4 linked regions of the Oryzias latipes genome follow. The protein of the gene in region 3 purifies or fractionates together with the protein of the main gene of each other region. This does not show direct contact. Links are inferred from orthologs where the notes say so. Each region holds a gene or a part of one and is shown on either strand. Other genes may lie near its edges.

Region 1 (3,524 bases), on a different chromosome or scaffold from region 3:
GAACGAGTACATCAGAGGGACGGCTCATGTTGCCTGTGTTAGCGACAAAGTCAGAGAAGCCAGACTGAGATGGTTTGGACATGTTCAGAGGAGGGATAGTGGATATATTGGTAGAAGGATGTTGGAGATGGAGCTGCCTGGCAGGAGGGCAAGAGGACGGCCAAAGAGGAGATATATGGATGTCTTAACAGAGGACATGAAGTTGGCTAATGTTAGGGTAGAAGATGTTCATGATAGTGAGATGGAAAAGGATGATTCGCTGTGGCGACCCCTGATGGGAAAAGCCGAAAGAGAAGATTGTATTAAAATAATTTAGATTGCTGTGACTTTGAAACTAGCAGAATGTTATTTGTTTGTTTTTCTTGTAAATAACTCCCTTTTAGGAAGATTTGAACTTAAAGGGGCTATATTATGCTAAGTATTTTGTTTAAGCTTTAAATTGTATTCTAATATTCATTCCTCACGAAAAGAAACCCCAAAGTGGTATTTTGATCCGTTTACGCAATTCACCCAATCCACGTAAACGAGTGGGTCCTCACATTGTGACGTAGATCTATCGCCCCAGGTGAACACACACACTTTCTCTAAAAATGTGTTCTATTGTGTGCCAAAGTTTATTTCATATACATGGATATTGTTTACTATAAAAGACTTAACCCTTGTGCTATCTTAGATGACCCCACCCTTACATTGACATGTTCTACCTACCATGACAAAAGTGGATAAAGGTGGAAAGATTTCATGTAATCCATGGACACCAGTGAAGATCACAAATCATTGAAGAAAAAAGGTTCAGTGCACTGTCTAGTGGGTCTAGATCAGGGGTCGGGAACCTTTTTGGCCAAGAGAGCCAAAAACGCCACATATTTTGAAATGTAATTTCGAAAGAGCCATACCATTATGTAGTGTCCTTTTCCCACACTGAGGCACGGAGACTTAACCTCTTTTAAAGTTCTTTATTCTGATTACTGCAGACCGTAACAAACGCCCTACAATTAATTCAGCAGCTCCTGAATCTCTCCCGCCGAGACGAGAGAGCTTCTCCCAACTTTATATTCCCCTGCTCCCGCTCCAGCCCCTCCCATTCCCCTTAATCGGCCCACAGCTGAACCCCATTGGTCCAAACTACCAAACAACAGGCTGAGCGACAGAACTGAGGGCCAATCAGATCACTGCTTGATCGATGCGTTCCATGAACTCCAGAACTTTTAACGCGGCCCAACAGCCATCCAACTCAGTCCGCGACAATTTGTTTAAAACTAAATATACAAGTGAATGTGTGCATTTGATTTAATTTCAACATTTTTAAAGTACAATAAGTCTGAGGATTCTTTTTAATAACATTGTTATGCTGTTGCTAATAAATGATGAGTATTTCTCGTGGTAGTTTTGCTGATGGTCTAGTCTGGTTGATACGTGGTGAGTTTCTGCTTCATGCAGGCGTTGAGACTTTAAACGTCATCGTAGGTATGAATGTTCTGTAGATGTGAGACAGACTGCTCACATGCAGATACGGAGCCAAACACACACTTACACGCTGCAGTGAGTGACGGGCAGCGGGTTTTAGGTTTTTACAATCCCTGCGCGATTCACCTGCTGCCTGTCCCCACAACACCTCAGCCCCACCCTCTGCTTTCTCCCTCACACATCCCGTCCTCGCATCTGCGCGCTCTTTCTCAGAGACGGGAGCGCGCAGTTTTAGGCACGGCAATTCACAGGTTTCAGGCTGGTACAAACTCTGTGAAATAATAGATAATAGTAACTGATAGCGCTGGCACAGATTTTTTTCTCCAAGCACCGCTACTACTGCGCGCCTCTGGCATCGCATTGCGCCCGAGAAGGACTGGTCTAATGAAAAAAAAAAAAAGTATAATTAAAGATTTGTCTGCGAGCCACATGTGACCATCAAAAGAGCCATATATGGCTCGCGAGCCATAGGTTCCCGACCCCTGGTCTAGATCAATGTTTTTCAACCAGTGCCTTGGGATATTGCCCTCATTAACTGATCTAAAAACATTTCACAATCTCCAGGATATCAGCTCTTAGTTCATCCAAACAGGCCCTGATAAAACACTGAGTAGTTAGGAATATAAAAGATCATAAAACACTTTTTTCTTTGTGTTTATTTGATTAAATTAAAGACATTTTGATAAGAATGACGGTACCGTGATTTAGCTGCAGCTTCAGCTCTGTTTTCGGAAACTGTCTCCACCAATCATTCTTGGAGGCTTAATCATACGTCATCAGTCTGACCCATCAGAAGTGGTTAAAGTCTTCACTTCCTTGTTCTGATCTGCTCGTAAGTCTCTCAATTCCAACAAAAGTACCAGCTAAAGCTCGTCTTTAGCGATGTAGCTTTCCACAGAATCCGGTATCAGACCGTGGAACAAGTGAACAAAACAATGAAGCTCAGAGACGCGAGTCTTTTTTCGTTCAGCGGCTGTTTTCACTACATCTCCCATGATGCATTGGGTTAAAGTGACAGCGGCTCAGCGCACAATGAGTCGTCCTTGTTAAACGTCTTGAAACCACAGCAAACAGACATCAAAAAGTTTTTAAATCTTCTAACTTAACTTTTATTACATCTTCTAGAAAAACAGCTGCAGCTTCCAGCTTTTTCTGCCACAATTATCACAAAAATGCATGTGAGATTGCAGAGGGGCTGTAGATCAATACAGACTATGAGTTTCTTTCTTTTTTTTTTTTTTTTTTTGGACGGTGGTGTGCTGTGGGATTTTTGTCAAGGTTAAAGTGTGCCGTGGCTCAAGAAAGGTAGAAAAACACCGATCTAGATGACCCAACTCCAAATGTTAAAGTGCCTAGGATAGCACAAGGGTTAAGAATAGTCCTTTTAAAAATATGATTTTACATATATAATTATGTAAATAAGTGTAAAATTAAACTGTAGTCTATGATTTATTTTTGTTATTATCGAAAGAAGCATCTCAGGTTTCCAAGCTCTTCATCATGATTTCAACACTTGCATGCCTTATCTATAACATCACTAAAATCACCAAACATTTGTGGATTTATAGACGTCCTAATCTCTTTATACATTTCATTGTAGCAAAAGTTGATATTTTTGTGAAGACTAAAAGTGGTTTCCTCGTTGTCGTCCTCTGCAGCATGCGTTCTATCCTGCGCAACCATCGCTTTCGGCGTGATGCACGAACACTAGAGGATGAAGAGGAGATGTGGTTCAACACAGATGAGGATGACCTAGAGGACGGCGAGGCAGTGGTTCCACCTTCTGACAAGATGAAAAGCGAGGAAGACCTCATGGAACCAATAAGCAAGTTCATGGAGAGAAAGAAATGTTAGTATATAAACATTTCAGCATTAGAAGGGTGAAGATGCAGTTAAGAAAATCAGTGACTTTTGCAGAATTTTGCAAATTGGTTTTTAAAAATTTCTTTTGCTCCTGTTTCCTGAAGCTGTTAGAGTTAAAAAAAATAACAGGACTTTTACCAATGTCCATTTTATTACTATAAATGTCCACGATTAGAGACATGTTTGATGCAAAA
Region 2 (2,297 bases), on a different chromosome or scaffold from region 3:
AATTTCCTCTTTGTATTGAATATTCAGTCGTTTTTAAAATGCTCAACTAAATTCAATATAAAAGCCTTTTTATCTAAAGTATGTTACCAAAAACATGTGACAATCCAAAATGCAACATTTTATTGTTTAACTAAGATTGTTTTTTGCATTGAATTTATTGATTTAGAAAATGCATGATCAAATTACACCCTGGGAACTGAATTCCACATGAACGATGGTGAAAATGGCCCAGCGGTTTAACAGAAGCGGGTCCAAAGATGCCAGAAGTTCTGGTGGGTGAAACCAGAGGTTTCAGGTAAAACGAGCCGTGCAGCGGCCCAGAGGAACCATCCGGAACCTTATTCAGAAGCAAAAACATGGCAATGACTCCATGGAAAGAACAGAACCTCCATCCCACCACGGGGTTCCAGGAGGTCGTGTGGGAACGACCCTGGAGGACGGAGCGGGTCAGCGTTCAGGCGACATGGGCGGAGCTTCAGGAGAGTAAATCAATCAGCAAAGGGTCAGCATTGGTACAAAACTTTATTCTCACAATATCAAAATCGACAGACGGGTTAAAAGGAAGGAAGAGTGGAAACGGATGTGAGAAGAGCTTCCTGCTGAGTCGTCCTTCAGGAGTTTATTCACAGCAGCGTTCTGAATGGTAGATAGCGAGTCATGTGACATATGGGGGGGGGGGGGGGTCACTGGAATCTTGCAGCAATAACTGTACAGAGACAACATAATATGCATTAAAGGAATTCATTAAAATCATAAAACTTTGCACAGCTGCGTATCTTTGAACAAAGAGAGAAGTTACGGTTTTCCAACTGAAACTAAAAGAAATGGTCTGAATAAAAAAAAGAGGAGCAGAGAGGCGGAGTCGGGCTGGAAGTTGTGTCTACAGAGCAGGACAGATGGAGGCCACATCCAGGCCGCTCCACAGGAGCCAGCAGGCCTCCGGACTGCTTTGAGTTCAGACGGACGCCGCTGTCGGGGAGCAGCAGGAGGCCGGAGGCGCCGGGGAGAACTGGAACTAGAATGGCGGCGCCTTATGGCTGCTGGCCTGGAGCTCTACAGGAAATAGTCGGCGACGGGCTTCTTGGAGGGGATGCCTCTGGTCTCCTGTGGCGCTGCTTCAAATATGATGAACTCCCGCTGTAGATGCTCATCCAGCTCCAAGATGGCCGCAACGTTTCCACACCTGAGTGCAAGGAGACACGGCGAGGTTAAACCAGCACAGACCCTCAAACCGCTAGGCGAGAAGGACGCCGTCTTCAGCACAAACAAGGTTTAAAGCGGATCTCAGAACTTTTCAGATCAGAAAACAAGATAAAAGCCCACAAAACATGTTTTATGAAAAGTATATAAATATTTCAAAATATGTATGTAAACAGACACGAATGTATAACATTAAAACATTTGCTCATTGAGGCTTTTCTATAAACACTAATGACTCTCTGAACTCAACATAAACCTATTTAGACAAAATCCTCAGGATGTCAATCTGAGCTAAAGTGCAGCAGGAGAGCTGACACAATAAAGCAGTGAGATGGTTAACAGCACACGGCGTTCCATGCTTTCTCCAACAGAGAAGCTCTAACTGAACAACCAGATCATTATGGTCTGTCTCTGCTGGAGGGCGTTTCCGTCTGGCCACTAGGTGGAGCTCTCCTTATAGCATTACACTTTATTCCAGAAGATTGGAGCAAAAAATGGAGCTTTAGACCACAAATGGTTACTTTCAAAAATGTTTCTGTAAAAGAGTTTGGAAAATTCCTGCCTGTGAGTCTATAAAGCTGCTCATTGAGTCAGTAATGTATGTTTGGGTCGTCCAAGAGTTAGCATTAGCCGTCCTATGGGAAATTCCATTATACGTTAGCATCAAGCTAGCAGACTTTGGCTTTACTGATGTTATACATTAGATCCCCGGAAAAAAATGAGCATAAAAGATCGATTTCTACTTTAATGGATCTATTATTGATCTACTAAGATTGGATCAATTCAGATCAATTAATCGATTTGATCAAAATCACCGTGCAAAAAAATGTATATACAGTTTTTTTTAAAAGTAAGAAAAGCAGGGAATGTAGGAGGAATTGACTATTATCCATTCTTCCACCATCCCCTGCTACAAGCCCCTCCCACTGGTTCCAGAGGGGCGGCGGCTTCTCCTGCCACAGTTGGGGGCAGCTGCTGCTCCTCACTGGGAGAGTGAATGGTTTCATGAGGCACACATGGAGGCGTGTGCTGCTCATTGATGCTGTTGTAGAGCTCTTCAAAATGAAGAAACGCCATCTGTCATCATCTGCGTCCTC
Region 3 (3,524 bases):
ATGTCGGCTGTGAAACAAAAGGATCATGTTTCTTACACTGACCTCTAATAAACGTGCAGGTGCGTGAGGTGCGCTCCCAGTTAAAGGACATCATGGTGCAGCAGAAGATGAACCTAGTTTCTTGCGGCTCAGACTGGGATATTATTAGAAAGTGCATCTGTGCGGCGTACTTCCACCAAGCAGCCAAGCTGAAGGTACTTTCTGCTCTCTGGGCTTTCCTCGGTTAATATGTTAGGCCCAGTGGCGACTGGTTGTTGCAGATTTATAGCAGCATAATTACAAAGTGGTGAAATATCCCCTCTGGCCTCACATTAATACTGTGCTAAAATCTGAAAGGGAATTTGAAATCATGACTTTATAATAATGGTTCTCGGTTTGACTTATGAGCAGCCAGCTAACCCAAGCAATCATAGTAATGTTGGATATCGTATAGATTTATTTTGCTGCTGTCTAATCCAGTTCCAGAAGAAAATTGACCCTGAAATCCTGCTTTGCTGTGATCTTATAGTGAAACAGTAAACGCAGGCACTAATCCACATAAAAAATGCACACACTGCATCAACCAAATGCTTCTTCAACCTGTTTTTATGAATGTATTTTGGTTCCCAGGGTATTGGAGAGTATGTTAATGTGAGGACTGGAATGCCATGCCATCTGCACCCTACGAGCTCCCTGTTCGGAATGGGCTACACTCCTGACTACATCATTTACCACGAACTTGTCATGACCACTAAGGTAAGTAAAGGTGGAAGGAAATATTCTATGAAATTAAAGCACGAACAGGTTATTAATCTTTTTATTTGGGTTTTAGGAGTACATGCAGTGTGTGACTGCAGTGGATGGAGAGTGGCTAGCAGAGCTTGGACCAATGTTCTACAGCGTCAAGCAAGCAGGAAGAAGCAGACAAGTAAGTTCAAACTAAAGAAGGCTGGAGCAATCTGGTTCATGCATTACAAATTAAAGAGATGACAGCGCCCTCTTAAAGAAATTAATGAGATTATATGGTTCATAGTTACTGTTTTTGTGAGCTCTCTATTTGAAGGAGTAGTACCCCGTATCTAAAGTAGAGAGATGGGAAGAATTATTCCATAGAGAATATTTGTGAGGGAAAGGGTTTGAAACTTGTGCGTTTGTGTTTTGTGTTTCACACCATTCAGCCTCTGTTTTTGTGCAACCGATGCTCAATCAATTTTACAACGGTTGCTGCCAGTAAAGCAAGAAGTTGAACTTGGATTAGCTATAATTTAAAGGGCCTATTTCATGCTTGTCTTTCAGAGTAAATTACATCCATATATATGATAATATATTAACCTTTGGGACACTAAAGAACAAACTTTTCTATGAAATAAGTTATTCTCGTAGCTAATTTTTCTACCCAGATGTAAGACGACTCGATCTCTGAGGCTCCGCCTTTCGCTCCTTGTGGGTGCCGCCCACTTCATGACACCAACCTAGTGTCATCCTCTGCACCATGTGTGTGTTTTACCCACGGAAACAAACATCTAAACTTTTGCAAACATGGATGTGCTTATTGTGTATAGAAATTAAAACCGTTTAACAGATCATCGTTAGCTCAGCGGAGAAAGTGTGTGTGTGTGTGTGTGTGTTAGCCTGGGGGTGGTGCTGGCAGCACAGACGCTTCCTGTAAGGGGCTGTTTCTCACTTATTTACGTCACAATGTGAGAGCCCAGTCGTTTTTGTGGTTGCTGCTCCGAACACAGGTTTTTAGAAAAATGCTCAGATGGATCAAAATTCCACTTTGAGGTTATTTTTTGTGAGGAATGAACACTACAACACACTTCAAAGCTTAAAACGTTGATTTTGCTTGATATAGGCCTTTTATGATTTCTAACTCTTACTTTTATTTTGGTAACTCAGATAAGTTTGTCACCTAAAGCACATTAGTGCCATCTTTGAACCTTTGTGCTTCCTGTTATCATAGGAGAACCGCCGTCGTGCCAAAGATGAGATCACCAACATGGAGGAGGAAATGGCCATGGCACAGGAGCAACTCCGCACGCGTCGAGAGGAGCAGGAGAAGAAGAGCAACATGAACATTGTCAGGTAAGTTGGTGTTGCACCTTCATTCACTGTGGCTCATCATTCAGGCTTCATTCAACAATGGTTCCCCATTTTCCATACACAGACGGCATTAGAAATGTTTCATTTACTTATCCAGCTGTCAGCCCATATCTCCACCCCTCCTCCACTCCACGACTCTCTCCACTCCACCTTTCTCACTTTTCATGATGAGCTTTTCTCACCTCTGGTCCTTCCAGACGAGACAAAAAGAAATAATATTGACTCCTGGCTGACCCCCATTACTGCAGCAATTTAAATTGTGCCATAGCAGAATAGCAAAAGGAGGGGAGCGTTCATTTTTAAATTAGACCAAAAAAATCATTTCACACCCATCTGTGAGTTTTGTAGTGAAAAATTAGACTTTAAAGAGTGATTTTAAAGCAACTTTTTATTGTTAATTAATCAGCTAATTTATCAGTCTTGAGGTTTGTGTGAAAATAATCATATTAGAAGTTTAGGATTATGGGATCTAACAACAGAACTTAAATGTGTGTTATTGGAGTTGGGGGCTCTCTTGGGCTTATGGCAGACTCTTCTCTGAAGGCTTTTAATAATACGCTCAGTTCTTCTAGGATGACACTTTTACTTAGTTTTTCTTTTTTCTTTTCTTTGATTCCAAAAAACTGCCGGCAATTAACATAATGTGCACTTTGGTTTAATTAATAGACATCCAGTGATTTCCGGTTTAATCAGACTCATTGGAACTTTAACTCTATTTAGGCTAAGTTGTTTTGTTTGGAGGTTTTACTTAATAAAGACGGATTTACTCCAAATATTTCTTAATTCTTTTTTTTTTTTTTTTACATCTTAAGAGGAATTAAAAAGATTAACATCCACATGCCTCTGACATTTTCAATGTGCAGTTTGGAATTCCGACATTATTTTCTTTAGCTTTTAGCAGCTCTATGTTAGCCTATGTTGACCTTTCCATCAATTGAAAAGTAAGAACCAATAAGAGCTATTACAGAGATTCCACCATTTAAATGCAACAATGTCACATTTTTACTAGATGTATGTGCTAATCTGTACTGTTTTATTCATGGAAAATTAACGAGATTCAGACAAAACTCTATTTTCCGATTCCCATCTTCAAAAATGGGAAATACTGTTTTTTATGAAAGGAAACCTCCTTGTTTATCCTTGAAATCTACATGAAGCCTTTGTGCTGAAGCCACGTGCAGCACATGTGAAATGAACAAGGAGACAAAGATAGGTGGTGTTGGGTGGGTGGGGAGCACGGTGACAGGAGGGGGTTATTGCCTGATGGTGTAATTGCTGCAGGTGTGTGTATGTGAGCAGGAGGCAGAAGTGTGGGCAGTGTCAGTGTCATGTAATTAAAGATGATAGATTGTGCTGTCAGAGGCTTCAGCTCCATGTCCAAACACTTCACAGAGACATCAGTCTACCTTTTCACTGCCCCCCCCCCCCCCCCCCCCCCCCCA
Region 4 (3,524 bases), on a different chromosome or scaffold from region 3:
ATGTGGCTGTGTCTCCTGATGACATGGGACCCATTGATGACCTTTTAAATTGTGTTTTAGATATTGAAACATGGACGGGAGAGAACTTCTTAAAGCTCAATCAAGACAAAACTGACATTTTAATTGTTGGTCCTGAAGCTGAGAGAGAAAGGGTCCAATCCTATTTATCAACTTTTAATCTGAATGTGTGCAATAAAGTAAAAAACCTCTGTATGATTTTAGATGCAGATCTTAACTTTGAAGCACACGCAAACCAAGTTACAAAGACTGCATTTTATCATCTTAGAAATATTGCCCGAGTGAGACCCTTTCTCTCACAAGCCAGTGCTGAAATATTAATCCATGCTTTTATAACTTCTAGGATAGACTATTGTAATGCTCTTCTTTCTGGTGCTAAGAGAAATACTGTAAACCGGCTGCAGCTTGTTCAAAACTCAGCTGCACGCCTTTTAACCAGAACCAGAAAGAAGGAGCACATTACTCCAATTTTGAAGTCTTTGCACTGGCTCCCTGTCAGCTTTAAGATCGATTTTAAGGTTCTTTTATTAGTTTATAAAAGTTTACATGGAACTGGACCCTCATTTTTATCAGATTTACTTTTAGTCTATGACCCTCCCAGAGCCCTCAGGTCCACAGGTGCAGGTCTGCTAGTGGTCCCAAAGGTCAGAACTAAAACGCACGGCGAGGCCTCATTTCAGCACTGTGGACCTCGCCTGTGGAACAGCCTGCCTGAGGACGTGAGGGCTTCAGCCACTGTGGAGGTTTTTAAGCAAAAACTTAAGACACATCTTTTTAGTAAAGCTTTTACATAGTTTTTACTTGTCCACATGTTTTTATTTGATTTTATAAAAATTTAACAGCTAATTTTATTTGTTTTTATTTTAAAGGAGGGATGTGTATGTGTTGGGTTTTTTGTGTGTTTTTATTAATTCATTTATTTTATTATTATTTGCATTTATTTGTATTATTATTACATTCTTTTTTACTTTGTTTATTATTTTAACTATTATATATTTTTTTTTATCATATTTGTTTTATTCTTTCTTTGGGAAGCATTTTGAGATGCTATGAAGCATGAAAAGCGCTATATAAATAAAGTTGAATTTGAATTTGAATTGCCAGGGTTCTATTGGGCACAACATGCATCACTATCAAAAATGACGTTTACCTGTAAACGGTCAATAACTGATTATGACTGTGAACATAAGCTATTAGAAACAAATATATATTTAAAAAATAAAGTTTTTCTGAAAACAGTCAGAGGAATATCAGTAAAGTTTTTAATATCAGACCGATACAGATAAACTCAAATTATGCAAATATTGTCCAATAAGTTACTGGCACTTGTACATCGCCCATTCTTAATTATATTCTATTCAATTCTATTCTATTCTATTCTATTTCTGTTCAAGAAATATTAAACTAAACTGTGTAACATGTTAGGTAAAATATTTGAAAATTGCCAAACCATATGAGCATGTACTAAAATATTTAGGCTGTATTCCATTAGTTCCACTGGGAAAAGGCTCTAATTCATGATAATTAAGGAAGACCTTTGTTATTCTGAGCTCTATAACTATTTCTTAACTCAAGCAAAAATCCATCTTAAAAAATAATATTTCCTTCTTTAGATGTCAAATTGTTATTTTTTTCTAAAAGAAAAATGTCCTCAAAACTAGTTTCAGACTGAAAAGAGTGTTTACCTTGAACTTGGCTGTGATTTTGCATTCAGAATAAAGCTCTGTCTCTTTTTTTTTGTTTCTCTTTTACCACTTGAGAGAATTTTGACGCGAAAGGTGTTATTGCTGCCTCAACGTGCATAAAACATCCAAACAAATCTTACCTTTGACATTTTCTGTCACTCACTTCTTTAAAACGTCTATGAAGCTTCATTTGGTGGAAGCGTTAGAGCTTCTTTCTTAGCAAGTTGGTTTCAGTAAACGAGACTCTGATTTTACAGCTCTCTGTGTGGTCACAATAAAATGTCACACCGTCCAAGAAAAATCTATCTCAGCATATGCTTGTTTCGGGCTTCCACATGCAAAACTCACACAAGTCTGTTTGCGGGCTCTTTGTAGAAATCACATGGCAAATGAAAGTGCACTGAAAGTTACACCAGTTAAACTGGGATTCGGATTTGGCATTGACGTATGGGTTGCATCCTTTTTAGTAAACAAAAGTGTCAACCATTTGAAAATTGATCATGAAGGAGAAATCGTGGTTTGTGCCTGGCCGGAATTTTATTAAATCAAGTCTTTCAGAACAGAGCTGTAAAATCAAAAACCTGGAGATTTGCACCACTCTGACATTTCGCACCACGCCCTGTCCAACTATGGGTACATGCGCAGGTATTGGGTAGCGACATATGCTAAAAGGCATGTTCAAAATCACATTCAGTGTGTTTTTGAATGCACTCACATGCCCAGTGTGTTCATCGTTTTAGAGTAGAAGGACATCACAACATCATCAGCATAAAGTGGGTCATTTTCATTCAATAGAAATATTCTCCAGGTAGTATTCTCTATAATACTATGAGCTCTAATTAGCTTCATTGTGTCTGATAAATACTTTCATAGCCATACTGTCTCATTAAATCAGACCAACTATAAAACTGTCAAGACGGTCTCATTAATTTCTAGTTTATTTATGAAAAATTATTACATTTATCTGCAGATGGCTAAGTTGAACTATCCTTCACCGGTTCTTGAAAGTTTGCAGAGCAGTAGTGACTTTATTACCTCTTCATGACCATTGCACCGGCTCCTACAGTCCATTCCTAATATGCATCACACCAAAGTGACAGGAAGATACTCAGCTAAAAGGCTACTGTAAACATTGATTAATGGTATCTGTTCGAGTAGAAAAACAACATTCTTACAATGAAATGAGCAATGAAATCTATCATTTGCTTGTGTGAAGGAGGTCAAACATAAAAATGTTATCATAAGATAATCACATCATGTTAAAGGAATGAAAGAAACAAGAAGTGGGACTAAAAAATAAGGGAACCACCTTAAAAGATTGGCAAACAAATAAAAAAAGTGTCCAGAAAACAGGGAGACGTGTTACTCACCACCTGAGTAGGTTTGAGTGATATTTCATCGAAGTGAGCGAGCGTGAAGCTGTCTTCTGGATACCCGTCACAATCCTCCAGCTCCTGAGAGTTACAAGGGGGCTTGTCCCTGTCAGGGTTTCCATTCTGGGCACAAAGGAAAGCCAGTGTGACATAAAAGAAGCCGCAGGTACACTTATTTTGCATGTATTAACATGTGAAAGGATGGATTTTTCATGAAAGCCTTCGAGTGGGCCCTTATAAGTCCAAAAAAGAGTGAGGGTGGAAGCAGATGTGGCTCCAAATGTTCTAACTGTATAAATGGAAAGTGAAAACCAAAAATATTATTGGGCCAAAAATTGTACGGTAATCATTCTAGATCTTAACGAGATCATCATCCGTCAGTTTACACGTGGATTTTATCCTTTAGCAGAGAATGCACACATTTAATTAAACAGACTTTAAATGAGCA

What was found.
Region 1: the proteins of dhx38 (region 3) and ppp4r3a purify together in Homo sapiens (co-immunoprecipitation; 3 studies listed by BioGRID and IntAct, with this or other methods). This does not show direct contact. The link is inferred for Oryzias latipes from reciprocal best matches to the Homo sapiens genes DHX38 and PPP4R3A.
Region 2: the proteins of dhx38 (region 3) and ppp4c purify together in Homo sapiens (affinity purification with mass spectrometry; 5 studies listed by BioGRID and IntAct, with this or other methods). This does not show direct contact. The link is inferred for Oryzias latipes from reciprocal best matches to the Homo sapiens genes DHX38 and PPP4C.
Region 4: the proteins of dhx38 (region 3) and nudcd1 purify together in Homo sapiens (co-immunoprecipitation; 3 studies listed by BioGRID and IntAct, with this or other methods). This does not show direct contact. The link is inferred for Oryzias latipes from reciprocal best matches to the Homo sapiens genes DHX38 and NUDCD1.

What each region holds. Positions count from the first base shown.
Region 1 is NC_019882.2:7,224,426-7,227,949, reverse strand, and holds part of ppp4r3a (serine/threonine-protein phosphatase 4 regulatory subunit 3A), read left to right. Parts: intron 1-3,125; coding exon 3,126-3,316; intron 3,317-3,524. UniProt on the Homo sapiens protein: Regulatory subunit of serine/threonine-protein phosphatase 4. May regulate the activity of PPP4C at centrosomal microtubule organizing centers.
Region 2 is NC_019866.2:25,208,684-25,210,980, forward strand, and holds the end of ppp4c (serine/threonine-protein phosphatase 4 catalytic subunit), read right to left. Parts: intron 1,184-2,297; coding exon 1,054-1,183; 3' UTR 504-1,053; downstream 1-503. UniProt on the Homo sapiens protein: Protein phosphatase that is involved in many processes such as microtubule organization at centrosomes, maturation of spliceosomal snRNPs, apoptosis, DNA repair, tumor necrosis factor (TNF)-alpha signaling, activation of c-Jun N-terminal kinase MAPK8, regulation of histone acetylation, DNA damage checkpoint signaling, NF-kappa-B activation and cell migration.
Region 3 is NC_019861.2:20,540,809-20,544,332, forward strand, and holds part of dhx38 (pre-mRNA-splicing factor ATP-dependent RNA helicase PRP16), read left to right. Parts: intron 1-59; coding exon 60-194; intron 195-609; coding exon 610-735; intron 736-811; coding exon 812-907; intron 908-1,942; coding exon 1,943-2,064; intron 2,065-3,524. UniProt on the Homo sapiens protein: Probable ATP-binding RNA helicase. Involved in pre-mRNA splicing as component of the spliceosome.
Region 4 is NC_019869.2:17,473,175-17,476,698, reverse strand, and holds part of nudcd1 (nudC domain-containing protein 1), read right to left. Parts: intron 3,200-3,524; coding exon 3,074-3,199; intron 1-3,073.